Linked DNA regions of Alligator mississippiensis. The protein of the gene in region 1 purifies or fractionates together with the protein of each later gene. This does not show direct contact. Links are inferred from orthologs where the notes say so. Each region holds a gene or a part of one and is shown in the gene's direction. Other genes may lie near its edges. The genes, in order: ADRM1, PSMA7, ECPAS and PAAF1.

What was found.
Region 2: the proteins of ADRM1 (region 1) and PSMA7 fractionate together in Homo sapiens (co-fractionation; 3 studies listed by BioGRID, with this or other methods). This does not show direct contact. The link is inferred for Alligator mississippiensis from reciprocal best matches to the Homo sapiens genes ADRM1 and PSMA7.
Region 3: the proteins of ADRM1 (region 1) and ECPAS purify together in Homo sapiens (affinity purification with mass spectrometry; 3 studies listed by BioGRID and IntAct, with this or other methods). This does not show direct contact. The link is inferred for Alligator mississippiensis from reciprocal best matches to the Homo sapiens genes ADRM1 and ECPAS.
Region 4: the proteins of ADRM1 (region 1) and PAAF1 purify together in Homo sapiens (affinity purification with mass spectrometry; 3 studies listed by BioGRID and IntAct, counting the BioPlex papers as one, with this or other methods). This does not show direct contact. The link is inferred for Alligator mississippiensis from reciprocal best matches to the Homo sapiens genes ADRM1 and PAAF1.

Annotation. Positions count from the first base shown.
Region 1 is NC_081832.1:5,777,700-5,785,126, reverse strand, and holds the start of ADRM1 (proteasomal ubiquitin receptor ADRM1), read left to right. Parts: upstream 1-4,420; 5' UTR 4,421-4,485; coding exon 4,486-4,695; intron 4,696-4,878; coding exon 4,879-4,995; intron 4,996-5,080; coding exon 5,081-5,204; intron 5,205-5,544; coding exon 5,545-5,631; intron 5,632-7,427. UniProt on the Homo sapiens protein: Component of the 26S proteasome, a multiprotein complex involved in the ATP-dependent degradation of ubiquitinated proteins.
Region 2 is NC_081832.1:5,945,048-5,952,075, forward strand, and holds the start of PSMA7 (proteasome subunit alpha type-7), read left to right. Parts: upstream 1-4,009; 5' UTR 4,010-4,056; coding exon 4,057-4,152; intron 4,153-6,116; coding exon 6,117-6,243; intron 6,244-7,028. Other genes in the region: SS18L1 (calcium-responsive transactivator), read right to left, coding at 3,211-3,279.
Region 3 is NC_081826.1:165,611,804-165,619,234, forward strand, and holds the start of ECPAS (proteasome adapter and scaffold protein ECM29), read left to right. Parts: upstream 1-4,411; 5' UTR 4,412-4,460; coding exon 4,461-4,488; intron 4,489-7,431. UniProt on the Homo sapiens protein: Adapter/scaffolding protein that binds to the 26S proteasome, motor proteins and other compartment specific proteins. May couple the proteasome to different compartments including endosome, endoplasmic reticulum and centrosome.
Region 4 is NC_081824.1:466,976,599-466,984,131, reverse strand, and holds the start of PAAF1 (proteasomal ATPase-associated factor 1), read left to right. Parts: upstream 1-4,519; 5' UTR 4,520-4,545; coding exon 4,546-4,592; intron 4,593-4,681; coding exon 4,682-4,722; intron 4,723-7,533. Other genes in the region: uncharacterized protein LOC132248652, read right to left, coding at 2,630-3,158; cytochrome c oxidase assembly factor 4 homolog, mitochondrial, read right to left, coding at 4,012-4,260. UniProt on the Homo sapiens protein: Inhibits proteasome 26S assembly and proteolytic activity by impairing the association of the 19S regulatory complex with the 20S core.

The DNA of each region.
Region 1 (7,427 bases):
CATGCCAAGTACATGGTACTGTAGGAAGAAAGTATCTACGGAGGGATGATTGAATAGTTTAAACATATTTTTGAAACACAAACAGGGCAAAAGCAGTTTTTGAATGAAAGTATTTGGGTCTGTCTGTTACCCGTTGAAAGTGTATCCCTCCCACAATGGAAGTTACATGGTTGTATAACAAAAGATGGACTAAGTTAGGGACAGGAATGAGTGGCATTCTCTTATTTTAAAGTATAAATCAACTTTTGGTAACATTTCAAAAGAAGGGTAAAATATGCTTTCGTAGTTGCTGCATGGGCACTGGACTCATCATTTGAAAGATTTGTGGTACTATAGATTGGTGACAACTTTTTGGGTTACTGGACGCTGTGATTTTTGGTTCCCAAGATGACTGAAGGAGAGAAAATATATCCCTGATTAGTTAAGTGTTTAAAACCCCTTAAAAATTAAAATTCTCAGTAAATTAAAAGGCAGGGTTTTTTGTTTGAGAGAGAGAGAGAAATTTTCTCCTGCTTCAAGAAGTTTTCTGATTTTTTTTTTTTTTCCCCAGAGGTCTTTTCTAAAACTAGAATGTTACAAAAGACATCACATTGCTAATGATAATAGACCCTGTGAGAAAATGGTTTGTAACCATTTGCGCAATACATATGCCTGATTATATTCTCTCCTAAATGTAGTTCTCATTTCTCTCCTGTTTACTTTTGTTCACTGTAATCAATGTATCTGTACGTTAGAAATAAGCATACCTGTTTGTTTAGGATATGGACTAAACACTACATAATTTGGTAATACACTGTAATTTTGCCTCTCTGAAAACACCTGTGGTTTGGGTCAGTTGTACAATAAAGCAATATTTAAATTTATGTAAAGCTAACGGTTCTAATACAGAAAAAATGATTTTTGGTATGTTTTTATAGCATGTAAAAGATTAAATTGCTCATACCCAGAATTCCAGTCCACTCTGATTTACACTTCTATGAAGCTGCTTTTCTTTTGCCTTACTCAATTGCTGTATTCCTGTTAATTATTTACACACACTGTGTTTTCCTTATTCATGTTGCATGAAAATGTCAGATGATAAAAATGCTTTAGTGAAATGGATTTATTTTTATAATATTTAATAACTGTCAATACCCATCTATATTAACAAAGTCATATTTAGCTTTTTAGAGAAGTCTGTACAGGTTTGTGGACATAAATGTTAAACTGTAAATCTGAATAAAAGTCATTTTGAACAAGACATAAAATGCTTGGCATTACTTTTTTTTTTTTTCTTCACCCTCTCTGCAAAGTTTTCTTCCAGGAGAACAAAGGACCTTTCTTAGTAAATCAGATTTTAATTCAGTTCTAATATGTGCAGTGTTGATCTTGTATAATGCAGACTTCCAATTGAAACATCATGCAGTGGCAAACTGAATACCTACAGCCATCTAGTGTCGCACTTACTTTCACAAGCTAAAGCTGGTATTTTTAAAAAGTTTCAATAAAACTATGATTTGCATAAATTATGCTTCTGTCCTTTGCATCCCTGATTAGGCTTTCCAGGATTCTGTGATCCATGTTAGGTTAAGCAGCCTGTAGGAAAGTCATGTTTTGTCTTTAATTTTTGCTGTATTGTACCAAAAAAAAATATGTAAGGCTGGTTAGTATTTCAAGAGTAATTTGGAGAAGCACTAAAATGTTTCATTGCTGTAAGCTGCTCCTTTCCAGATCATAACTGACGATGTTACCATTCCTGTCTACTAATGCTAGCGTTTCTTGTTCCTCATAGGTTAAGAAAATTTCTTGTTGCCTGACTGCCCACAGATATATTTTTGGGAATGTTGGCAGCAATGACTGCGTTAATAATTATGAAGTGCAATCATTTTCTCCCTTCCGCTCCCTACTTTATTATGTATTTTAATTGCCGCTTTCACCTCTCAATTAACCAAGATCAATTTTTAATGAAAGAAACCTACTTTTTGTAATTTCAAAATCGGTACCGCATCACAAAAATACCTTTAAACTTACAATTGTTATTCAGATTTTTTTTTGACTTGATCTGTTTTGCTTAATGTCTTCAGCTTTGTGAAAGTGCAGCCTTTTGGAGTACCTCCTTATGGCAAAATGCTCTGAGGGAAGGGTTAAGTATTTGGACCTTTTGATAAGGAGAGGGGAAGGAGATCGGCTTGTGAGATTCTTACCGCATATGCCCACTAACTCTTCCCCACGTATGCCCACTAACAGGAGCCATTCCTCCCTCTTCCTTAGACTTTAGCATCTCTGCCTTGAAGGGTGTTGGACTGCTTTGCCCCACTGAGACCTTCCTCACGCCCATGTTGCGATTCTGCATTTCTGTTATAGAGGGGAAAATACCTGCTGGCCCATCGCCTTTCTGTTCCCAGTACTGGCTGTAAGCAGGTAGCGCTAGGCATCGCTGACTGCACGGCAGTACCTTCCTTGGTAAGTGTCCATTTGGGGTGAAGATTACGCAAGGATCTCATGGCTTTGTTCTGTTGTCAAGCTTTGCGTATAAAACATCTTTTTATCCTGTGTGCGTTAGCTGTTTGAATAGAAGCTGAAGCAGTGGGGAGACGAGTGGGACTGAAGTGTGTTGTGAGTTGTGTACAGGACTTGGACACTGTGGGTATCTCTGATATATTGTGATGGTGCTTCTAGCACCCACTCGGAGCCCAACGGTATGCAGGCCCTGTGCACATAAATAAGGAAAGCTGGGTCCTTGCAACAAATAGCTTTGGTGGTTGTGTAGAGCAGCGTTTCTCAACCAGCGGGACGCGGAGATCATGTAGGTGGGACTTCAACGCATTGCTCAGTGATTAATATGATACTAAAAGGCATGTAAACATAAAAAATACACTTCTCGGGGGAAAAGTGGGGTTTTGTTCTTATCATAGTGGGACCAGGGTTTTTTGACAAAATGGTTGGTGGGACGTAAGGTGCAAAAGGCTGAGAACCGCTGCTGTAGAGGAATTTGAGTCTAAAACCACACATGCACTTTAAGTGTGCACAGGCACTTTAAGGAGCCTTGTGCTGGGGGTGCCCCTTGCTGCTGCCCGCATTGCCCATGCTAGTGGTCTAAAACCACACAGGCAATCCTCTGCCTCTTAAGTCAAAATATAATTCAGAACCAACTTTCTCATAAGAAACAATGTTATAAATGGGAGAGAGGATATTGGGCCTTGGTTCAGGAACCAATTTTCACCAAAAATACCCCAGAATTTTGTACTCGGATCAATTATAGATGAGTCATATAGCTACATTAATGTATTTATATTGTAAATAGCAATCATATCGATTTGGAAGGACTTTGGTGACTTTGCTGGACTTTTTGAAGGGCTCTTGGCTGCAGGTTTTCTGGAGTCTCGTCTGCTTTGTTAAAGAAAACATCCAAGGAGGTTTGGACAGATGTTCTCCAGGGAGACGGGCGATGCAGCGAAGTTGTTCCCTGGCGCCGTGTCGCATCGCATCAAGAGTTGTGAAGTCGAAACTGACGTCAGAAAGTTGAAGCAAGGTGTCCGTTTATGAACGCTGTAAGTGCAAAACGTAAGTGTGGACGTTACAGCAGAGGGTATTGAGCGCTCGGATTTGAGGGCGAGGGTCAAACTCCAAGCAGGGCATCCCAGTGGCAGCACTTCACCAAGGCGGAGAGGAGCGAATCTGAGGGTGGAAATGGATGTTGCCTTTGTGCTGCCCTACTTTTCTTTTATGGCCGCACAAAAGCCAAGCAAGTGGTCGTCTATGCCCTTCCTACCACCAATGGGGTTGTGATGAAGGTGGTATCTGCTCGTGCCACTCCAGTTGCAGACCCCTGTTTGCTTTCCAGCACTTGATAAGTGAGGACAGGGCATGTTCCAGGTCCCACCGCATGCTCCTAGGGCGTGAAGGGCCTGATCCTGGGTGGGAGGGCCTGTTTTCCCTCCGTGCTATGGGTGTTGCTTACAGATGCTCTTCTCCCCTGGGTGTTTTCCACCCCCAGAGCCTGGGTTTCCACTGGAGATGTGGCTGTAGCACCAGTAGGGATTTGGAAACTGGTCTGTGCTGGGCCCCAGGCCATGCTGCAGCCCTGCAGGGCCAGGTCCTGGGGTAGCAGTTCCACCTGGCGCCGCTAGAGGCCGCTCCCCCTCTCCACGGGGAGAATGGGCCGTTCCATTAGCTAGAGGCCGCTGCCCCTTCCTCCATGGGGAGAATGGGCTGCTCCCTTCCTCCATGGGGACAATGGGCAATTCCATTAGCTAGAGGCCGCTACCCCACTCCCCCCGCGCGTGGTTCGGCCCGTATGACACAGCACAATGGCCCCAAACGCCGCGGCGCGGGGCATGCCGGGCCGGCCTCGCCTCGAGTGGCAGCGCCGCGAACCAATGGGGGGCCGAGCCGCGCGGGGCGCGTCCAACAGGGCGGCGGCGAGGGCGGGCTTCCGGTGCGGGAGCCGGAAGAGCAGCGCAGCCGCCAGCTCTGAGGTGAAGGTGCCGGGCGGCTCCCCGCAACATGTCGTCGGGCGCGCTGTTCCCCAGCCTGGTGCCGGGCTCCCGCGGCTCGTCCAGCAAGTACCTGGTGGAGTTCCGCGCGGGGAAGATGTCGTTGAAGGGCAGCACCGTCACCCCGGACAAGCGGAAAGGCCTCGTCTACATCCAGCAGACCGACGACTCCCTCATCCACTTCTGCTGGAAGGACCGCACCTCCGGCAGCGTCGAAGACGTGGGCGCCCGGGGGGGGGGAAATAAATCAATAAAGTGACAAAACAGGCCCGAATAAGCCTCAAACGGGGCGGGGCTGCCACGGGGGGCACAAATAGGGGCGGGTCTTACCCCCCCGGGACAATTGTTTGTGGGCACACCAACATTTAGTTACCCCCCCCTCCCCCCCCAAATGCTTTTGCAGGACTTGATTATTTTCCCTGACGACTGCGAGTTCAAGCGGGTCCCGCAGTGCACGACCGGCCGCGTCTACGTGCTCAAGTTCAAGGCGGGCTCCAAGCGGCTCTTCTTCTGGATGCAGGTTTGCGCGGCGGCGCCGGCCACGATCGGGGCGGGGGAGGGGGGGGGGCCGGGCCTGTCTCGACGACCCCTTCCCTTTCTTCCAGGAGCCGAAGACGGACAAAGACGAAGAGCACTGCCGCAAAGTGAACGAGTACCTGAACAACCCCCCCATGCCCGGGGCGCTGGGCGGCAACGCGAGCGGGGGCCACGAGCTCTCGGCGCTGGGGGGTAAGGCCCGTTCTCCGCCCCTCGGGTTGGGAAGGTTTATTTTTAAGTACAAACTCGCAGCTTTCTAAGAGCAAACCCCTGGCGAGTTTGGAGGGGGGGGAGACGCGAGCGCCGCTGGACGTGCTGCCGCCCCGCTCGCTTGCGGGACGACGTCCGGAGTCCCGCCTCCGAAACCAAGCGGCGTTCGTCTCTTACGAGCGTCTTGAATTAGCAAACGCTTGCAAAACGCTGTTTTTTCCCCATGCGAAATGATGCCGGTTAACCTCCAGCTGTTGGAGCGAGTGGGGGGGGGCTGTGAAAACTGTGTGAATACATTGTTTCAGGCTGTTTTTGTTTTTAGGTGAGGGTGGCTTGCAAAGCCTTCTGGGAAACATGAGCCATAACCAGCTCATGCAGCTGATCGGACCAACGGGCTTAGGAGGACTTGGTAAAAAGCTTTCGTATCTTTACGCTTTCGTATCTTTACGCCGATGTGGTGCTTTCTCCTGCTGGGTTACGTCTTACCTGACGCTGAATATTTTCGCGTGACTTTGAATAGCACTTCCCTTGTGCGAGGCGGCAAGGTCCCGATGCTGTCGCTGCCTCAGAAACAGGACGAGGAGACGAGAAACGAAGCAGCCGCGAGCTGTGCTCGGCACGTGCTTCCCTGGGGATCGATGCACAAGGGAGCTTTGTTTCTGGTCCTTGCCCCACTGACTGTTTCACTAATTGTGTCCTGTAAGCGTTCAGCAGAGCCCAGCTTCCCCCTCCCAGGCGTATGCCCCGATCCCCTGGCTGTGGCACACTTTTTCTCTGACTGAACACTGAATTATTAATGCAAGATGGAAGCATTTGAACGGGAGGGATTGAGAGCGTGTTTGGCCCAGAATAGTTTAGGGCCTGAATAGGGCCCTCTCTCCTGGCAGGCCAGCGATGTAGGTTTGAATCCTCTTCTGTCAAGGATGGAGTTTAAACCCTGGTGAGCAGTTGAGTCCCTTGAGTTATGCGAGGTTAGAGGTGACTTTGGCATCTTCTCTGAGGGCCCAGAGGAGATCTCTGAGATTCCTTATTTCTTACATTGGTTCCTTATTTGACATTGGTCTCTTCTTTCCCTGGCCTTTGTTTTTAGTGTAGAATAGCTTGGGTTGAAGCACGGTGCTCGTGTCCCTCAGTGTCAGGGCCTGATGTGCTAATTAACTTCCTGCGGGGAGAGGCAAGGGGCTTCTGCAGGTGGTGAGCATCTGGTTTTGGCATGGCTCTCAGCCCCTGCTAGCATAAGGACTGCCAGCCTGAAGTGTGGGATTTTGTGCTCTCGTATCTGGTTTGCACATCTCCCTCGGGGTACTTCTTCACTGCCACCCTTACCTGAACTGCCCAGCTGAGGTGGTCCCAGTGTAGTGAAAAGTGGTGCTGGCCTTGTTAGTTTTACTTTGTTGCTGTGGGATCAGTGTGATCAGGGACCAGGGGAGGTATAGGGCATGGTCTATTACTGCTGGGTGCATTCTGCACAGTAGAGGAATAAGTGGCTCTACTTCCTCTGACCTCTCCCATGCTATTCGGTAGTTCCAGCCCTTTGTGCATACGCTGATGGAGCACTGTTCTTGTGGCATCTAGGTTGTAACTACTTTCTAAAGGCTGAGCATCAGAATACAGGTGCTGGAAATGTCCACAGCAGTTGGACTTGGTATTAGGAGCCACCTCAAGGGGCACATGTGCTGATGGAGCATTTGGGCAGCATGTGGTACAGGAGCAGAATCCCAGGGAAGTCACTGAAAACTGGCACCTGGAGTGGGGGCTGGAAGTTAAGCTTTCTTAACCCACCTCCTAGGTTGTAGTATGTTCCTAGGTTGAAGGAATTGTACCGAGTTAAAGAGGTGAGGTGAATGCTGTGTGCCAGCCCCAGTAAGATTCCCTTCCTACATCAAGTGGAGGTGTAGATTACCCAGGGGGAAGGGACAGTGAGTGTTTGGTATGTTTCTCCCCTTTTGACTCAGTTTAAGTAATCCATCTGTCCAAACCTGTTGTTTAAAGCTGTAGTAGTGAATAGTAGTATGGGTGGAGGAGTCTTTGCATAGTTCACACATTCCCACTTCCTGTTGTCATGCATTGGTTCCCTGTGGCATTTCCTGCTCAGTGTAGTCCCGGAAGCACCTTACTCAGGCACCACACTCTGCTCTCGTTTGTGCTGTGTATCAGGTGCTTGACTCTCGAGCTGCTTTTTTGCTGTTGCATACCTGCTCTTGG
Region 2 (7,028 bases), about 170 kb from region 1:
TGAATACGCAGCATCTTCAGGAAAGGGAAAACATTTTCTTGAAATACGTTTCATCTCATCTAGGTATCTAGTTGTTCATGCAGTTGCTTGCTTTCTTTAAGGAATGATGCAGAAGGATTCTTAACAAATTTAAAAACAAAGACCAAACCATGGAAAAAATTAGCAGCAGCAGCATCACGTAGTCCCATATTTTGGTCAACAGCAAATGGACAAGCAGAATCCAGATTTCTGGCTTCTACAGACTGTACAAACAGGGGCATGTCATCACCAGGCCAGGGGGCATACTGCTGATCACAACTCCTGACAGCACGCATCTCTGCAACACCTGTCAAGGGGATCTGAGGAATGGAGCATCTCTTGTGTCCTACCAAGACAGGCCAGCAGCAAGGCCTCCCTGCCGACGATGGGAAGAGTCAGAATTGTGGCAGGCGAGATTCATGCGTCTCCTGTATGGTTTGGGCATGGTGTCCGGATGCATGGCATCTGGGAAATAACCTCTGAAATCAAAATATTCCCAACAAAGCTCTGATTTCATTTGACTCACTGTTTGTGTCGAACCTACGATGATGTAGATGGAGATATTCTGTGGAAAGTCTAATACAATTCTCTGCAACTGAGTGGAGAGGATCATTTTTCCTGAAAAACTGTAATCATCTTAGGACCCTCAAAATATTTTCCAATATTAATGAACAGCTCAGCTGCTGGCATCCTCATGTCTAGTAAGACGGTTTAAGGATCAAACGTCACCTCTGGATGTGTATTCAGTGCTGACAATCCAAGCAACACAACTGTTTGTTGCAAAAAGACCAGAGAATAACTGTAGTATAACACTGCTAAAAAGAAGTAGGCTCTAATCTGTCAGAGAAGTAAATCGAAGGTTAATATTAATGCCCATTGCTGTTCCATGAGCTACAGTCAATCTGCAATCCTACAGTCTTTCACTTTCCTCACATGAAGTTTTGTATAAGGATTATAGTTAGCTTCGGAAGGATAAAGGCTTGAAAGGAGCTTTTGAAAGCAAGTCAGTAGCATGCATCATAAAAACTAGCTGCTTGTGTATTCAAACATGAGCCGAAAACAAGCATCTTTGTGAAAAATATCTTTTACTATAAAGTCTGACTTCTGATGAACGCACACTGTTGCAATTTCCTGCCCCAAAATTAGATTCCGCCCTGCCCCCCATATATGACGGCAAAGTCAAGTTAATTTTTTTATGCATTTGTTTTCAGATAAAAGCGTCAGTGCTTTTCAAAAAAGACCATCACTGCCAAGAATCAAGAACTCAAGGAGCAAGCCTAATGTAGAAAGCATGGAGTGTACTTGTCAGAGGAAAAGATTTTTATATATTTCCAAGAAACAGACTGCAGCCCCAAACTATTACTAGGTTTATCACGGACAGGAGGGAAAGTGCGTGGACAATTAAGAGATTACGACTGTCCTTTACACTGAAACCTTGAAAATGAACTTAAAAGACTAACCTACACAGGATGTGAAATTCTGCCTTAAACCCACAAAAATCCAGATAAAGGATAAAGCTGCACCTTTTGCCACTGCTGTCTAAATATTTTAGCCTCTGAAATGAAGTGGGTCTGATGACAACGTCTCACATGCTCCAAGAATTAGGCAAAATGGAACGAGTTTCCAAATGCTCTCCTGGCATTTAGAGATGCGAGATTCTAACATCTCTCTCGGGGTACTTTGTTCTGCCTTCATTTTCCTGAATCTTGACCTCGTCCTCCAGCAAAACGCATTGCCCCAGAATTCACAGCCTGGCACTAGATGCTAGCTGGACTGCAGGAAATCCTCCTAAACAGCTGATTGCTGAGAGCTGACACCTTTTTTTGTTCGCCATTATCCTTTACAAATGGACTACATCAGACCTTCATCCCTTCCCGCACAACGCAACCCCCCCCGCACATCGCAATAGGGCAAACACAGAGCACGCAGGCTGGAGCTGGGCATGACAGGCATTGTTCAGCAAAACCAATCGACAGCACAGACACGCTCTTTATTGACACCTCCACACCTCTTCCGTTATCCCCGGGGACGGCAGCAGGGCCTGGGAGGGGCTCCTTCCCCCCTGCCCATCACCCTCGCGCGTCTTCTCCTACAAAAGCATCCCCCGAACTTCCCAAGTGGGTCCCCTCAGCACCCGCTTCTGTAGGGAAGCCCAGCAGGGACCGAGCCCGATGAGAAAGCCCCTCGAAACCTCTGCCCTTTGGCGTTAAGCCACGACGAGTGCAACCGCACATGACAATAATAATAATAATAATGCTGATAATGATACTAATGATAATACAAATAACAATACTAATAATAATGCTGATGATGATACTAATACAAATAACAATACTAATAATAATGCTGATGATGCTGATACTAATACTAATAATGCCAATGCTACTAACAATGCTGATAATGCCAATACTAATAATAATGGCAATACCAATAATGCTGATAATACCAATACTAACAATAACACTGATACTAGCACTAACAACACTGATACTACTACTAATACTAATAATGCACTAATACTAATGCTAATAAAGCCAATACTAATAGTAACGCTGATAATACCAATAGTAATAGTAATGCTGATGATACTAATACTAGTAATAACGCCAATACTATTAATAATGCTAATGATACTAAACCAATACTAATGCTGACAATACTAATACTAGTAGCAGTAATAATAACAATGCATTATTATTACTACTACTAGTAATATAATAACAATGTATTATTATTACTACTAATACTAGTAATATAATAATAATAATAATACTTGTAATATAATAGAAATAATACTAGTAATAATAATGTCAATACCAATAATAATGCTAGTGATACTAATACTAGTAATAACACTAATACTAATGATACTAAGCCAATGCTAACAATGCCAATACTGATACTATTAATACTAATACTACTAATAATGCTAATAACGCTGATAATACTAATAATGCCAACACTAATAGTAACAGTGACGATCATGCCAGCACTACTGCTAATAACGCGAATACCCCCGGTAATAACGCTATGCTCACACGGATGGTGACCGTACCGCAGGACCGTGGTGGTGACGGCGGCGGCGCTCACCCCCCCGCCGTGCCCGGGTGAATAATGGATGAAGCCCCCATCCCCCACCCCCGGCTGTGACCCCCTCCCCCCCGGGCCGTGAGGCGATGCCCCCCCCCTCACCTTCTGGATGGTTTGCTGCGTGACCTCGCCCTTGGCCCTGGGCCGGGCGGAGGCGAAGGCGACCGACATGCCGGCGGGGGCGGGGGCGGGGGGGGGCGGGTCCCTGGCACGGCCCCGGCCCCGCGCTCACGGTTGCGATCGGCGCCGCCGCCGCGCCGGGCTGTCCGCAGTGCGCGGGGGTGGCCGGCGCACATGGTACATCCCACGCCCCGCCCCGCGGCCCCCCGCGCCGGCCCCGCCCCCCGCGCCCCTCTGCCACAGCCCCGCGCGCCGGGGGGGCCCAGCGGCTCGGGTCCGGGGGGGGGGCGGGGGCGGTGCCCACCGCAGAGCCCCTCCCCCGCTCCCCCCCACGCCGCTGCACATGGTGCGTCCCGCGCCCCGGCTTCCTGGCGCAGGCGAGCAGCGGCAGCCAGGTGCGCCAAGTGCGTAGGGAAGGCGGCATGTACGCCAAGTGCGTGGAGTGCAGCGTGAAGCCGGAGGGGGGAGGGAAATCATGCCCGCTCCTACGCAAAGTGCGTGGGATAACTTCACCTTGATAACTACGTCAATGGCGTAGGCAAAGAACGCGTGTACGCCAAGAGCGGAGAGGAAATCCTCCACCTTGATAAACCCGGCGGCTACGTTAAACGGGGGGGTGGGAGACACGCAGGTATGTACGCCAAGTGCGTAAGGTAGAACATGAAGGGGGGTGGGGAAACGCAGCGCCTACGCAGTTGGCGCACAGGAAGCAGAAGGCGTAGGCCAGGCGCGTGACAGCGGAAGGGCCGCCGGAAGGGGCGGGGCGGTCCGCCGGAAGGGGCGGGGCGGGCGGTGAGTGTGCGGATTTGAGGCAGCGCCGGGGCCGCCATGAGCTACGACCGCGCCATCACCGTCTTCTCTCCCGACGGCCACCTCTTCCAGGTCGAGTACGCGCAGGAGGCCGTCAAGAAGGGCTCCACCGCGGTGAGTGTGCCGCCGGGCCTGTCCTGACCTGGCCTCACGGGACCCGCCGGGGGGAGGGCCCGAGCAGCGCGGGGGGCGCCGCCTGCACTTGCGCGACACGCGTGCAAAAACATAGACTTTTTTTTTTGTTGTTGAAAAATCGAGTTGGTGTGATGAGAAACAAGTCCTGATCCCTCTGGCGTGCGTGTGAATGTGTGTGGGTGTACATGTACGTGTGTACACTCACAGCCACGTACGCACACTCTGTATACAGACACACCTGCCTACATACATGTGTGCACACTGGCCTCTTGCTCTTTCTCTCTCTCTCTCTCTCCACATATATGTGCACATACTGTCCTCAAATGCACGCATGCACGTATACACACCCGCGTGGTGCGAGGTCATGCAGCAAAGGCACGTGTGCAAATACCTTCCTACACGCGTGTAGAGAGATGGAGATGTATATAAGATGAATACAGACCCACATGCATCTCCATATGTATCTATAGAGCTATATGTAAGTAGGTATGTCTGTATAGGGTGTGTATATCAATACTCATACATGCGTATAGACAGATATATGTGCCTACACACGCGCGCACACACACACATCATGCTGACTTACCTACTTACATAGAGATCTACAGATATATAAAGTAAATACACATTCACATGTAGATCTATAGATAGATACAGAGATGCATGTAAGAAGGTATGTCTGCATAGGGTGTGTGTGTAGATATGGGAATGTATGAGTATTTATACACACACCCTATGCAGACATACCTACTTACATACAGCTCTATAGATAGATATAGAGATGCACGTGGGTCTGTATTTGTTTATTTTTTTACGTACATGATCTAGGCTCGGGGTAGTCTGTGAGGTGCAGACTTACTCCATCTTCTCACTTGACTTGGACTAGCTACATCTCCCAGCCAGGAAGGAGCTCGCTTCGGCAGTTTGGTTGTGGAAAACTTGAACCAGTTTGTTGCCGCGGGAGGTGGTGAAGCCAAGAGCGTGGCCAGGTTCAGAAACGAGTGGGTCACTTCATGGATGATGGATCCGTTCATGGCTGGTGAACAGAAGGGTTGGAGATGTTTCCCCTCTCATCCCTGTACAATAACGGGGGATGCCCGGGAGGGTGCTGAATAGGGGATGGATTGGATCGCATTAGAGAAACCTGGTTTTGTGCGCTCTCTGTGTAGCGTATACTTGGCTGCTGTTGGAGACAGACTGCTGGGGTGACTGGACCGCGGGTCCGACCCAACGTGGCGCTTCTTGTCTTAAGAAACCCAGTGTCAGTCCCTTCTCTTCCTGGCGAAGGAGAGGTAGAAGCACATAGAATAACCTAAGAGTTGGAATATAGAGCAGATCTGTTTGAGGACCATTCAATTTAAGCTTTGTTGTTTAGTCTGTGATTCAGTCTTAGCTTGTGATGAGCCTTGACATACCTAACGGACTTCTCTTTAGGTCTAATTGGATTTAGCAGCTGATCAGTTGCAGCCAGGGTTCGAATTACACTGACTCTTGGGGAGGGGGTCTCCAAAAACGAATTGGGCTGCCCATCACGATGCCCTAATGTAATTGGAGACCCCCCGTGCTATGATTTTCAAATCTTACAAGAGTGCTGTCATCTCTTATGAGGGGCTCAGCACCCCCTGAGCTCCCCTGTATTTCAAACCCTGGTTATAGTTGTAACTGAAGCTCCAAAAGTGATTTTAAGAACCAAATATAGAGATGCCTTCTTGGAAGGACTAACAGGTGTATAAAAAGAACCATTCAGACTTGTCCCATTATATGGGCTAATTTTTGTTCTCTTACATCAGTTATTTTTCAGCTTGATGTCCAGTACAACGATGAGGCAAATTATTTGATGCTTCTCATTGTATTATTACTTTTTTTGTTGTTTAAAAAAAAAACAAACATTCTTATTGGACTTGGGAATGTTGTAACTGCTTTGGGTTTTGAATTCATTGAAGGTTGGAGTAAGAGGAAAAGAGATCGTAGTTCTTGGTGTGGAAAAGAAATCTGTTGCAAAGCTTCAGGATGAACGAACTGTGCGGAAGATCTGTGCCCTCGATGAAAATGTCTGCATGGCTTTTGCAGGTATGTGATGTTGGCTAATTGGACTGTTAACTGCTGGTCGCCAGGCTAGGAACAAGTTTAAACAAGGTAGTTATTGGAGCATTACTGTATTAGGTAGGTTTATGAACTATGAAAGCAAAGTTCTTTGGATAATTGCAGGTGGGAAATGGGAGGAGTATGTATATGCCCTGATGGTTGCTTATTTCCTTGTAGTAAGAATTGTGGTTCCATAGGGTTGTTTTTGGGGTAATCGAATACGAGAAAATGTCTTGAACTAGTGACATCCACTGAGGATAGAAATGTATTTTAATTTCCCTTTTGGAAGAGGGGTGAATTACTCCTGTGAGGAAGGAATAGAAATACAGATCAGAATGACTTTTTCTTAGATAAAATGGTGATAATCTGTAGTAGCAGGAGTTTGGGGAGGTTAAGTGAACCTGTTCCATTTGAATCTTCCCCAAAAGCTAAATTTTGAAAGCTCAAGGTTTTAAAAATCACACGCAACAAAAAATGGATTCTCTCATTCCAGTGAAAAGGTTAACTTGGTAAGCAAGCCTCGTAGCAGAAAGAACTCGAAAGTGAAACCAACTCCCATTGTTCAAGCTGTAAGATTTCAGAAGAGCAAGCAGAAGTAATGACAAACGGGATTAAAAATGTGTACTAAACACTGCCGTACTAGAAGTAATTTACAATCCATCTGAGCAGGCTACAGTAGTAGTCTTTAGATTTAGTCAAATGTGACATTCTTGCAAACTGATATGCATAGTTTCTAATTTTACACACTCACTCTGACGACTAGAATAGCA
Region 3 (7,431 bases), on another chromosome or scaffold:
TCTATAAATGCATGTAGCCCCTGCTGACAACTATGCTCCTTTTCTATACAGAAAATCTTGATTGGGATGAACTTGGTTTTCTACTTATCTGTGTCTTTGGGGAAATGTAAGACCTGCAGCAATTACTCTGACTCATGTTTCCCTCTGCAAGAAGAACCAACTAGTTAACCTGATTACCCTTTTTCCTAGTTTTGTGCATTTGATTCTTAGGATCTTATTAAGTTTCACTCTCCTGCTGTTTTTTTTCTATAGCCCCTACTGATAAATAAGTACCTTGATCTAACTGAATAGGACTGATCCTCTCAAAGTTGCTTCTTTGCACTCTGATCACTATGCAGTCACATAGGAAAACTTTCCTGTGAATGTTAGGAAGGGTTTAAACATTTTAATTTGACACGTGGGCTAAGGCAGGTCTAGAGCCCAGTCATACACTTCCAGTCTGCTTTTCTAATTTCTTCAAATTCTGCTCTGTCACAATTTGTTAAGCCTATGATGCCACAAGAGCAGGGGTGGGCAAAATACAGCCCACCAAGTGATTCTATCCAGCCCGCAGCGGGTCCCTTGGCCCTGCCTGGCCCAGGCTCAAGGGACAGCTTGGGCTGTGGTGCATGCAGCTGGTCCTGCTGCCCCTGGGTGTGGAGGTACCACCTACTGCAGAGCAAAGCCCACCCTATCCCCATGTGGGGCTCTTGGGCATGCCAGCATCTGTAGTCTGCAAGTCTGGATGGTGCAGGGGCAGTGTGGCAGCTGGGCTTGACTTCCTGGCATCCCCTGTGATGGTGGCTCCTTCTGGATACCATTGCCAGTGTCTCTGCCACCATCCCCAGACCTGGCCTTGCTGCCTGTGCACCCCAGCCCAACCACCCTGCACTCATTGCCAGGGGTGCTGGATGGAGTGGGCAGACAGGAGGGATTCTCCATGGAGACTGGCTTGGGACCCCTGCCAGCAGAGTGTGCTCTGCTGGGTTGATGGGAGGGGCCACAGTTGGGTGGTGAGTGGCATCCAGGAGCAGGACAGGCAGCTGGAGCCTCCAGGGCTGGGATCACGGGGTGGGCACAGTGTGGGACCAAGGCCCAGGGCAGAGCTGTGATCCTTTCCCCACATGTCCCTGTGATGGGCGCCAGTTCCATGGACAGCAACTGGTCTCTGCCCATGGGGTCCTGATCCAGTCTCCATGGAGACCCCACCCACCACTCCACCTGGTAGCCTTGGTGGTGGGTGCAGGGTAGGTGGGCCCTGATAGGATCAGTTGGCATCTGTTCATCATGCTGGGCAGTGTAAACAGCCTGTAAACAGGTGTAGACTGCTGTCAGCTTACCAAAACTCCTTAAGTGGTCCTCCAATCCATATAATTGCCCACCCCTGCACAGGAGAATCAAATATGATGTGCATGTATGTGTGGGTATGCCAGGAGATAACTGATGATCTGTGAAAAATAGTATGAAGCATGAGGAATTCCTTCAAGAGCCCCAGAAAAAAGGTGGTCTGCTATATCCAACCGTCAAACTAGCTAACATCCATTTAACTGAATTTCTGATCATTATGAAAGCAATAGAAAACTCTTTGTCTATGCCTTTTCAGTATTTCCTTTTCACTACTCTCTTCACAGCCTAAAAACTCTTGACCTTCCTTCTCCCTCCATTTCTTCTTACATCTCACTTAAATGCCACAAGGCCAGGTTTAAACCCTGAATAATCCATTGCATGTTAGGGTACAGAAATTTGTTACCTGGAAGATTTGAGACCGAAGATAACTCTTAATTTCAGGAGAACTGACAGCAGCATTCTCTCAAAGACAGACCATTTCCAGTAAACTGAAACCTAATTTTTATGAAGGAAATTATTTGTCACAGAAAACTCTGCCCATCAGTAGGAGCTGTGATGCTTTTTATCCACTGAAACAGTAGTCCCACCCTGGAGTGTGCTTCTCGCTTAGGCCTCTGATATACCTCGCTCCTCTTTCTTTGCTAGCAGGCAGTCTCTCTGGCTTTTTCCCAAGTCCACAAATTCTTTTAATAGGTGAACACAACCTAAGAGTTGAGTCCAACTTGTTCAACTCTTTCTAGCCCATTCTTTGATAGTTCTGATGTTAAGGGGGGGATGATGTGGTTTCTCTTCTTTGGTCTGTTCACATCTCTCTACAAAATCAAATAACTCACTGAGAGCCCTGGCATCTGACTTGTCCAGTCCTTTATCACCTTAAGGGTTGGTTTTTTTTATGGAAGAAATTGGGTTTACCTACCCTCACCAAATTCAACACTTGGCTTGTGGTTACAGCTTGAATGAGTGTAGCAAATATGTGGGAAACCTGGGGGTGGGGGACTGCTGGGCCTACACTCTCCTACCCCCACACTCATTCCTCCTGGTGCAGGATCTGTGTTTTGTGTTTCATCTGCTCCCATGTGGATTCTCAAAGCAAACTGCAAAGTCCTAACATGGGAAACCCATGACAAAGACACACACTGCAGGTATTCAGACTGGTTCATAATAGGGTCAATGGCAGGAGATCTCCAATCCACCTGCTTGTTAGTTAACAGAGGAAATAAATGCCATGTCTTATAAGATTATGACAAGAACCTTCAGTTGTTAGAAAAAGCTGACAAATGTGCACCGTGGGGTCTGCTGTAAATTATGCTACAGCACAAGAGACCGAATGTATCGCTCTCCTAGGAGCCACTTGTCAGCATAATCCTTAATGTAGCTCAGATTGGTAATGGGCATTGTGAGAAGCCCTGGAGGGCGGGGTGGTGTTTTTTTGTGGCTGATTCTTAATATCTCTGTAAAAATCACTTTACATGACAGAAAAGTTGAAATTAGGCAGCTTCAACTGTTTTGTAATGATCTGAACTTTCTTTTGTTCTGAAGCTACAGATGTGTTGAAGACTGATGGTTCCTTGAAGGATTCTCTTGGCACAGCTATGTGCAACACTTCTACTAGTAGCAGTCATTCAAGGGCCAAAGCAGCCCTACAGTGAAATGAGAGGGACAAGGATTTCTTAGGGCAATATCCTTTGTTGGACCAGCTAAGTTGTTGGGATAAACTTAGACAAGCTTTCCAATGTAAGACTGGTCTCATTCTCATGCAGGTGATACTGGAGGAAGAGTATCTCCCTTTCCAAAGCTTGCCTAACTTTATCCCAACGACCTAGTTGGTTCAATAGTAAGAAATCCTTGCCTGTCACACAATTTCTGGCCCATGATGACCGCAACATCACTCTTTGGCTGCCAAGGTTCTTTGGGTAAATGCAATATCTTTTATTAGACCAACTAAATAGTTGGAAAAATTGTTCTTTGCAAGCTTTTGGGCACCAACCCCCTTCTTCAGGCATAGGGAGGGTATCCTGGTGACACGTGTTCTCCATGGTGGAACAGAAGCCAATGTACAACACGCAGGTCTGGGGTTATCAGGTGGCAGGCAGGCTGCCTACACCAAAATATTTCTTCCTCAAAATCTCTTTAAGCTCCAGGAACTTAAGGCCTCTACCCGGGACCTCTCGCCATACTCATACGGACATTTTATAGAAGCAGGCGGTTGGCTGTCATGGTTCCCCCGCTTTACCTGTGGCAGGGTTGGGGGTGTTGGGCTGAGGGTAGTTTTATGCAGGGTGCAATGATGGGGCAGCATGGATAGGGATGCCCTATCCATCCCCTGGACCAGCCGTTCCCAATCTGTGGTACAGGTACCCCCAGTGGTACATAGACAACCTGTCAGTGGTACACGTTAACAGATCGACCACCATTGCTTTACGTGACAAAAATATGCTGGTGGTACTTAAGGTTGAGCTGAAAAACGTGCTGGTGGTCCTGTAGGTTGTACCATTTTAAATGGGTGGCCTGCAATTTGTCAGAGTTGGGGGGGTCACGTATGGGGCAGTTTGGCTGGAGATGAGCTGGCCTCAGGCAGGGCCCCTCTCCCTGACTGTACCTCGGAGATGTCCGAGGGGAAGGCGCCGGGCTGCAGCCGTGCTGCCCTGGTGTGGGCTGAGGTCTCCGCCACACCGGCCCGGGCCTGCTGAGCCCCGCCGCCGCCCTTGGCGGGCCCGGGCCCGGGGTGCCGCAGGCGGGCGGGGCGGGGGGCGGAGGGAGAGGAGCTCGCCTCCGCCAGCTGCACCTTCCTGCCGCAGACAGGGGCAAGGACTCCCGCCGCCGCCGCCCGCCCCGGCCCGGGCCGGCCTGGCCCTGCGAGCAGCGCCGCCGCATCCCCCGGCATGGAGGTCACAGTGGACTCAGGTTGGTGCCGGCCGGGCCCGGGCGGGGGAGCGGGAGGCGATGGCTCAGCTCTTTCTAAATATAAACCGAAAGCGAAGCGCGGGGGGAGGAGCGGCGGGGCCGGACCGGGCCGGGCCGAGCCGGGCAGGGCAGGGCCGGGCCGGGCCGGGCCGGCTGTGCAGCCGCGGGGCCGGGGGCGCCCGCCGGGGGAGACGCGCACGCACGCACACGCCTCCCGCTCCGCCGGCAACATGGCCGCGGCCGCCTCCGACGAGCTGAGTGAGTGGGGCGGTGGTGGCGGCGCGGGCCGGGCCGGGGCGGCGGGCGGGCGGGCGGAGGCCGTGCTGGGGCGGGGGGTCCCGCGGGCCGGGCCGGGCCGGGCCGGGTGCGCGCGGCGGGTCCGGGGCCTCCGCTGTGCACAGTCATGTCGGGCCGGGCCCGCGCACAGGCGGCGGGTGTCCCCTGCCCCGGCCAGGCCCACCTCAGGTGGCCGCGCCCTCTGCCCCCCGCCCCAGCTGGAGGCTCAGTTTTCCCATCTTGGGTATGGGTGTAATCCGCCCAGCGCTGGCACTGTCGCCCAGGCAGCCCCGCACCCGTCCCTGGGCAGGCCTGGTCCATTTGCGCCTGTGTAACCAGCCCTATGGTAGAAGAGGAAATCCTGGGGTGAGGAAAGTTGGGTATTTCCTGAGCTAATGATGCACTGCAAATTACGCCCCCCCCCCCCCCCCCCCAGCACCCTTGTGTGCAGATCCTGTGGCCACGCGGGGCCCTGGGCAGGATGAGGCCAGTAGGGAGAGGCTGAGTGACATGGCACAGGTCTGAGTTGTTGCCCACAGAGGGTATCTAGCACAGTGGCTTTTTATTTGTACAGGTTTCCCTCACCAGCCACGGTTTTGAGTATCCACGCTTCAGAGAAGGGGGGGTACAGTCTGAAAATACCCCCACAACTCCTGTAGTCCTGCTCATGCCTCTCACACTTCCCCTGTCCCCACAGCCTTGCTGGTGCCACTCACCCCCACCCACGGCCCCTGCTCCCCCAGCCCTGCTGGTTTTGCCAACCACAGTTTTGCCAGCCATGGGATCTTTCAAGAACCTACCCTCATGGTTGGCAAGGGAAACCTGTTTTTTTTATTTATTTTTTTTTTAAATAAACCTTCCAACTCTGCCACCAGTTCCGGTATGACAAAGGCTAGGCCTGCGTCTGTAGGAGGCTCCAGATTTAAAGGAGTGTTTTGTACCGTGCTCCTGCTTCTCGTGTCATGTAACAACCCTGTAAGAGGAAATGCGGACAGAAGACCAAGAACCCAGCTGGCAGCCTGGTGTTCCTGAACTCTGCCAGGGGATTGCTGGGCTGAACAAAGTGAGGGATTGGCATCGCCATAAGAAACTCTGTAAGAGGAAGAGCAGTTTTGACATATTTGCAGTCTACTGCCCTTGAGGATTAAACCGTGCTTTACTGCACAAGGAGTAATTTAGGCCCTCTGTCCCCTGCTCTCTTTGCTGGAGAGTACCCCTTTAGTGTGCTGAAATTCTGTTATCAAATGGATAAGGTGAGCGGAGTTTGGCACACCAAGATTTTGCTGTGTTTTCCTGATCTTGCCAAAGAACCAGAATCTCGAGGAGCAATGAGGATTGATTACCTTCAGGATTCACTGATCACCCTAAATCCCAGCCTGCTTATTCCATTGACAGTTGGTAGGAGTCATTTGTCATACTATAACACTGTCATGTTATAGTATAGAAAGATTGATCACAGACGCTTATCAAATCCCTCCTCTTTCCACTTTACAACTCTGATGTCTTCACTTATTCATTTAGTTGAGATTCTTGGTATAATAATTCCTGTTCATGGACACGTTTCTTTTTCCACGTTATGGAGTGTCTCGTCTTCCTAGCCTCCAATTTGAACTTGGGTGTTGGGTTTTTTTTCACTCCAGTGTCCTGTGGCTATTATCACTGGATTGCTGGTCACATGTAAGTTAAATCAGAGCTTGGAAGGAGGACAGGAAGAATATCTAGTAGGTGAGACTCTGGTTTAGCAATCCGATGTTGCACTAATTGAAGATCTCAGGCAATCTAAATCATTGCTAAGAGAATTAGTTATCTGTAAGCTGTACCGAAAGAAAACATACAGTATGGACTTCAGAATTTGAGGGATTTTGTTGGAAGTATGCATATGGTTTCTGTGTGTGTTGTGGAGAGAGAGGACAGAGATTTTTTCTAATATCTCATTTTTCAAGAATGGAAAGGTTGGAGTGTCAAAGGTGAGCTTTATCAGAAGCATAAGAAATTCAGAATGCAGGGAATCTCCCCAGTTTTTTCTTCGATTCAGAAGTATGCGTGTTTATAAAATAGTCTAGTTGCAGTGTTGTTGAAAAGAACCTGATCTTTGGGAGAGTGCGAACTCCTGAGGGAGCAATGATTATTTCCTTTTAGATTAGAAAGCCAGTTTGTTCCTGTTTGTGGGTGCTTGGCTACAATAAACTTTGTAGCTGCTTTTTTTTATGAGGAAAAACACACTTGGTTAAACTTTTATAAGGATACTTGCATTTAGTAGATGAATAATTAAAACTAGTCATATCTTAAAACATTATGTAAAATCAACAAATAGGGTTTGGAACTGTAAGCAGTGAGATGCAAAATAGGGGAAAGCCATTTTTGGAGAGAGACTAAACTTGACACTGCTCACTGAAATTCAAACTTTTATTGTTCATATCTTTGCCTGAAATGAAGGAACATGGTGATAAAAGGAAAATTGCTTGTTCATGGTAAAATATTACTTTTGTAAACTTGATGAGTGACTTGGACAGGTATGTTTCTTGAAGATATTTGCCTGACTCACCCAGTGAGTGAGTAGCACCAACAAATCTTGACTCCCAGTCTGCTGCTATAACTATTCTAGATGTGCTCCCACCCCATGTCTAAGGCCATACCTGCAAGATTTTGCCTCATTTTAACTAGGGGTACACTGATACAGATTTTTCTGGCTAATACCAATAGCTGATTATTAACCAGCCATATTGTCCGATACCAATCCAATAGCTGATTTACAGGAATGCAAGCCTGACGACAGCTTGGAGAGCAGTGTCTGGCTGTTAAATCTGTGGGAGGGAAGGGGCATGCAGGGAGGCAGATTGAGGACCCCACAGTGATGGAGGGAATGAGGCAGCGGGAGATGCTGTCCAGCCAGGGCAGTGAATGCAATCCAAAGAGTGGGATGGA
Region 4 (7,533 bases), on another chromosome or scaffold:
TTCTACTTAGCTGGTCTCTATCAGAGCTGGCTGCATCCCTTGGCTGGCTTAAACCCTCCCTGAGCTTCATTACACTTGCTCGGTCTCCAGGAGCTCCACCCCAGAGCTGGCTGCATCTCCATTCCAGGTAAGCCCCCTGCTATCCCCTATGTAGTGTTATACTCAGCCCTTTCTAAGCTGCTCCCCACCCCACAGCTTGTTGCATCTTCGCACCAAGTAACTCTCCCACTCTCCACAAAAACTACCCCTACTACTGCCCTATGTATGGGGGTGGAGCAACTCCCCCTGCAACCCCCACATCTGGGGCAGCTCCCAGCCCCCCATTCATGGCCACACACCAATAGGACCCCGGCAGCCCTGCAACCGGTGGGGTTGGGGGGTGGGGGAGCCCTGGGCCTCGTGGGCTGGTAGATGAGATGCAGCTGAGGGGCTGTGGTTCTGGGGGGCCATGTACAGCTCCAGCATGGGCCCTGGTTGGGGGCTACCAGGGACCGCCAGTCCTAGTACCAGGTCCAGGTGGGCATGGGGCAAGTCGGCCCCTGGTGCAGTTCAGCCACGTGCTGCCCCCGCCAGCACCGACCCCTTGGGCTCCAGCACCAGCTGCACCTCCTCTGGTGGATCTGGGAGGGCAAAGGGAGGGCAGAGGTCAGGGCCAGGCAAGGGGAGGGGCCTAGAGCAGGTGGGTGGGGCCTGGAGGGAGGAAGGTGCATGGGTTGGGTGAGAGCCTGAGCCTGGTACTGGAAGGGAGCAGGGCCTGAGGGTGATGGACAGGCAGCCACCTGCCAGGGTTGGCTGAGGGCCAGCACCTGCTGTTATGACTGACAGGCAGGCATCTGCCTGGGTTGGCTGGCTGCCTGTGCCCAATGCTACACAGGGGGGAACCAATGGTGATGGACAGCCCAGGAGCCCCGCCCCATCTGGCAGCTACTTGCAGAGCACATCCAGGTCCAGCAGGAGAGAGCAGGCAGCGCTGAAGGGGTTGCGGGCCTGACATACATAGGTACCAGTGTCCTTGGGATGCACTGGATTCAGGTCCAGCCGGCATCTATTCTGCCCTGGCAGGTCCTGCCCATCCTGGAACCAGCTGAAGTTGGCAGCCAGGGGCTTGGCCTGGCAGGAACAGAGCGGTGCCATGGGGTCCCTGGCATGGATGGGCAGTGCTGCCTACAGCTCAAGTGCCACAGCCTGGGGCACATCTGCAAGGGTGGGGGGTGGCAAGGGAGGGGACCCAGGTGTCTGGGCTCCCCCACAACACCACAGGGCACCTCAGCCCTCCCAGAGGTGGAGGGGACCCAGGCAGCCGGGCTCCCCACTCCCCCACACTGGATGCTGTTTCGCAAAGGGAGGCAGGGGGTATGGTCCAGTCACCTGGGTTGTGTGCGTGTGTCCCGAATGCTTGGGGGGGGACACGGGGGTGCATGCATGTATGTGCATGCGTGTGCTGACCCCCGACTCCGACCGCCCAGCTGCCCCCAGCCCTGGCCACCTGCACTCACACTGCGCAGAGAGGCAGAGTGGGGGGGAGGTGGCAATGCCTTGGGGACTCTGGGCCATGCAGTGGTAGGTGCCGATAGAGCCTCATGCCCAGGCCCGGAAGGCCAGCATGGGGCCATGCTCTCCCAGTGCTTTCCAGTTCTGGGACCAAAGGTACTGGTAGACACGGGGGTTGGCTTCACAGTCTGACCCTCCAGCACCGCTGGTCCTGGCGGCAGTGTCAGCGTCACGTTCCTCAGGGGATCTGCAGGGGCTGTTACACTTGGTTGCTGCCTGGATGTGCCAGCCCAGACCTGGGCACATCTGGGCCCCAGCACCCCAGGGCAGCCCCAGGCTGGGGGCAGTGGCCCCACTCCTTGCTGCTGGAGCTCTGCCCTCAGGCTGTAATTCCCTCCTGCCATGACCTAGCCCCACCCCCTAGTGCTCCCTCAGCTAGGAGACTGGTCTCACACCAGGCTCCGCCTCCTACCCCAGTGGCCCTGCCCCCTGGGCCACACCCTTCTTGAAACTCAGAGCCACACCCAGACCCCACCCCCAATGCCTCTGCCCTCCACCCCTTTGCAGCCATAACCCCACCCACTGGTTCCAGACCCCGCCCCCAGACATATGCCCCTCCCCCTGCTCCTTTAGCCCCACCCCAGTCTTCTATCCCTCCCCCAATACCAGCAACCCTGCCCCCTGTGTGATGCCCTGCCTCCTGCCCCAATGGCCCTGCCTCCTGCCCCAATGGCCCCGCCCCCACCCTTTAGCCACACCCCCATTGCCCCACCCCACTCACAGAGCACATGCAGCTCCAGGCGTGGGAGAGAGCCTGGCCGTGGCCCTCTCACTGGGGGGTGAAGTCTAGCCAGGCTGTGGTGTGGGCGCCCTCCAGGTCCAGCCAGGCCCAGGACTGGGTCTGTTCTCCCCCCAGGCCCTCCAAGCCCCCCAGGCCAGGCCTAGGGGCTGCAGGGGGCAGTGGTGGGGCAAGGAGCAGGTCAGGTGGGCCAGGACCCCCTCCTGCAGCAGCCATGGACCCTCCAGGCGGGCGGTGGAGAGGCCCATTGTGGGGGGGGGGGGAAGAGGTCAGGCCCACCTGGGTTCTCTCCCCCATGGTGGGAGGGGCTTGGGAGCCCAAACACCTGGATTTCCTCACCTGCCACCTGCACCTGGATCGTCTCCATCCACTGCTCATGCTGCTGCTTGTCCGTGGCCTTCAACGTCGACCCCTGGGGCTGGACAGCATGGATCCACACCCCATAGGTGCTGTTGTTGCCCAGCCTTACATTCTGAAGAAGTAGACTGCAGCTGCCCCAGAGGTTGCCCAGGAAGACCACTTCGGGTACTGCTGTGGCCCTGGCCCTAATCCAAGCCAGCTCTGTGCCACTGTAGCCCTTGGTCTTGGGGTCCCAGCGGGGCTCGTGATACCAGATGAGGGTGTGCACCTGGCCCAGGACCGGAGGAGGTTGGTACAGTGCCCAGCCCGGCTCGATCTCACCAGGGCGGGGAGAAATGCACCTCGGAACAGCAAGAAATAGAGGAGAGGCCACGTGGCGATGCCAGGGCAGGTGAAAGGCCTGGGGAGGGGAGACGAAAGCAGGATGTTGGCTGCTGTAGTCCCCCTGCTTTACCTGTGGCAGATTAGGGTGTTTTGCCTTGTGTTGTGTCAGGTTTGACGGTGTCATTTTGCTAACATTGGATTTGTATGGGATGGCTTGAATAGGGGTGACTAGATGACCTCTGGGGGGGTCCCTTCCAGACCTGCTTCTCTATGAAAGGGGACAAGCTAAGGGGGCAGCCCTGATGCTGGCTGGCTGGTACCCGAGCGCTTGTTTTTTTAAAGTTCATTTACGCACTTGCGCGTGCGTGTTGGAAATAAAACACGCAGCCCCCTTGAACTATCAGATTCAGGCCAGGCTGAGTTGACTCTGCTGCTCGTCCTTCATTCCACGCAGCCGCCTACGTGAAGCTTTTCAGAGCAGAGCTGAGACAGCAAAGCTACGTGCCCCCTTTCCCCACCAGCAGGATTGAGCAGGCCGTGACTCTCCAGCCTAGCAGCAACTAAGCGAGGGGAGTTTCCTTGGTACGTAGCCCAGGGTCCTTGCAGCTGACAGATGCTGCACGATGTCCTGGCAAATTCCCACCTGGAGCAATTTAGATAAATCCACGTGGCACCCAGTCTTTTTCCTACAAGACTTCCATAGCACACACGTGTTGAGCGGAGACCACGGCAATATTGCATGTGCAATGCTACATCACGCTCTTTGGCCCAAGAGAAGAACTTACATCAGGAGTGAATCCACATTTAATTTGTGCCCCCAAAATTAAATGCATTTTCACCCAGGATTCCCCACTAGAAAATATTCAGTGTCATTTCATCATCTCAGCTCCTGATTAGGGTGATCAGTCTGCACACACACAGGCCAAGGGGCAAAGCATTTGACCCCTCCTGGAGTCAGCAGCATGGTTCAGGTGTGCGAAAGGCTGATCAGATGTTGACGTTGGGTCTCTTGAGCATCAGGCTGCGGCCTCCTCTCATCAGTTCCTGGCCTGGGCCAACTGCTGCCGCCTCTGCAGCTCCTCCGCGCGCCGCTGCTGATGTTCCTTCATGCACGCCTTGAAGGTCTGCACCTGCGCCTGGCACTTCCTCCAGTCCTGGTGCTCCGCCATGCACTCCTGGACGGCGTAGTGCGAGGCAGCGCAGCCCGTGCGCGAGATCATTTGGTCCAAAGGGTCCTCCTCGTCCTCCGGCTTCTGCTTCCAGTTGTGACCTGGGGAGCCGGACATCTCGTGGATCTACAGCGTGGGGACCAGAACAACAACAAAACCCACAAGGACTGAGATCCACCATGAAGACACCACTCATGGATGGCCTTTTTTCAGCCCCACCACACCCAGGTCTTTACCTGCGCTCTTACACCGGCTGCCCCTTTAAGAGCGTGGCAGGACCCGGAAGAGGACGCGCGCTCTAATTGGCCGAGCCTCCTCCACCCGCTTCCGGGTCGGGGTGGGGGAAAGGGAATGCACTTCCGGGGCGGGGAAAAAAGAATACACTTCCGGGGCGGTGCAGCAATGGCGGCGACCGTGCGGGTGCAGAGCGACTGGCACCAGGTGCTGAGGTGGGAGCCGCCGTCGCCCCTAACCACCGTGACCCCCTCTCCCCTCCCCCCCACCGGTGCGTCACTAACGGCCGTTTCTGCCGTTGCAGGAGGAACGAGGGCGAGGCCTGGCTGAGCTGCAGGAGCCCGGGTGAGTGCGGGGCCGGCGGGCGAGGGGGGCTATCACTATACATATAGATATATAGGTGCATAGGTAGAGGTATATAGGTATAGGTATGGATATGTTAGCGGCATTTCATTTTACTCACGGAAAAATGTGGATTTTTGGGTTACTTTGATTTTAAAAACAAAAATCCCCATTTCTTAGATATCAACACGTAACCCCAAATCCACATTTTCCCATGAGTAAAAGGAAACCTCACTGTATCTATATCTCTATATATATGTTAGTGGCATTTTGGAAAAAAATGTGGATTTGGGGTTATTTTTTTATATCCAAGAATTGGGGATTTTTTTTTTATCAAAGCTACCCAAAGTCTACGTTTTTCCATGAGTAAAATGAAACGCCATAATATATAGATCTGTATGTTAGCGGCGTTTCATTTTAATAATGGAAAACAGAAGTCTTCCAAAATCCATGTTATATTCAAGAAGTGGGGATTTTTTTTTTTAAATCAAAATAACCCAAAATCTGCTTTGTTCCATGAGTAAAACGAAACCCCACTATATCTATATATCTGTACCTCTCTCTATATATTTGTATTTCTGTATGTTAGTGGCACTTCATTTTAATCATGGAAATAATACGGATTTTGGGTTCCCTTTTTTTATATACAAGAATTGGGGATTTTTTTTTTTTTTAAATCAAAGTAACTCAAAATCCACGTTTTTCCCATGATTTAAAATGAAAGGCCACAGTATAGGTAAGTGTTGCTTCATTTTAATCCTGGAAAAATGCAGAGTTTGGGTTACCTTTTTTGTAACTAAAAATTGAGGATTTTTTTTTATCAAAGTAACCTGAAAATCTACATTTTTTTTTTTTTCCAGGATTAAAATGAAACATCACAATATCTATATCTCTGTGTTAGTAGTGTTTCATTTTAATCATGGAAAAATATGGGTTTTGGGTTACTACTTTTATATCCAAGAATTATTTTGGGGATGGCCATATAAATATAAATTTATGGCCATATAATAGCGTGGTTGCGCATGTATAGAAACATGAACCCAAAGTGTATAAACATATAAATAATACCAATGGGGGGGGGACTTTTTTCTCTGATTTAAAAAAAAATAACAAACAAAAAAAACCCAGGAGCCCTGCTAATTACCTTGTGTAGAAGCAGGACGTTGGCGGCCGCGGCCCTGCTGTTCGCCCTGTGGCAGGGTCTGGTGCAGTGCCTGGGGCTGTGTCATTTTGAGCTTGGATGATGGGTTCGTGTGGGCTGGTTTGGGCAGGGCTGATGCTGCCTCAGGCAGGGGTTGGGCTGGGTGGGAGCTCCCCGTCCAGCTCCGCTGCTCTGTGATTCAGCCCTTCTTTCCTCTGTTGAAGAGTCCCTGCTGGACAGGGCCTCCAGAGGTCATGGCTAGTCCAACCCCCCCAGTCAGCCCTGTCCAACCCAGCCCAGAATAACCCTAATCTAAGCTCATAGCAAACTACAGTCAGCCTGACAGGCATCATGCCTCAGCCTGCATGTGATTGATTCAACAGCACCTCGTTGTCTGTTCTGCCTGCCTTCCTCACCTCTTGTCTGACCGGAAGTGCAGTATGCCCGGGTCATTGTCTGTAAAGTGAGGTGACTGGTTTGCTCAGGACATGCCCAGATTTCATAGGCTAGTCCCAGCCAGTTGGTGAAAATTGAAAGATTGCAGGGGCACAGAGCAGCCCTGCCTGCTTGTCTCCACCTGCAGCAGCACTGCTGACTTTGGGTGGAGGCAGTGTCATGCAGATCCTTAAAATAATATGGTCACTTTACTGTAAAGGGACCTGGAGTCCTAGGCAGGCATCTGTGCTCATTGGGGCCAGTGGAAACTTCCACTCTCTGGGCAATGCCCATTTGTGCCGGATATGGAGCCTCTTGGACTGTGGGCCAAATTCTGTGACTAAACGACCATTGTGAACCTCCCGCTTTCTGCTGAAAGTGCAGGTTGTGTGGCTTCATCCTGTCCTGAGTAACCAAAAGGCAGAGCAGCACATGAAACTGAAAATAACAGCCCTTAACAGTGCACGCAGATGGTAGTCGGAGAGAGGGTGAGCTGTGCACCAGAAGTTAGCTATGTCTCATAATGCACTGCTGGACGGTGCATAGATACTCTGGTGGTGACACTGATATAAGAGCTCCAATAGAACAGAGTACTTCCCCCTTCTTGGTACTTGTACCCTTCAAATGCACAAGCTGCTTTTAGGTATCCAGGTTATAGCCATACTGGTCTAGAGGAAAAAGCAATCAGGACTCGAGGTAGAAGTGATATCTTTTATTCAACCAACTGTATTTTTGCAAAAAAATTTCTTTAGTTTAATTAATATGCTTTTAGTATCTTTTTGCTACCTGCTGCCTCCACGCGCATTCTTCGTCATTCTTTCCTCCTTGCAAATCAATATCTTCTCATCCCATATTTGTGTTGTTTTTCTGTGAGCTCCCTCTGGTTCATCAGTATCTGACTATAAATATCTGTGAAACGGTACGTGTTGTTCTAGGTGTGATTGTACTACTCTTCCCTTCTGAGATATATTGGAGTTTGAAATTATTTCAGCCACCTTCTTCTAGTGTCGTACTCGACTCTTATTTGCAGTCCAGCTTTGCTTCTGTACATCTGAATGTTATGTGCTTCCCAGGTTTCTCTCTGTCTCTGTCTCTTATTTTTCCTCCTAAGCAGAGTACTGTGCTGTAAGTATTCCAGTCTTTCAATCTGCTAAGTGTATACATCAAAGAAAAACAGTTAAGTTCAGTCACAGTTATTCTTAAATTGGGTGGTCTGTCATATTTCTATTCCATTTCTA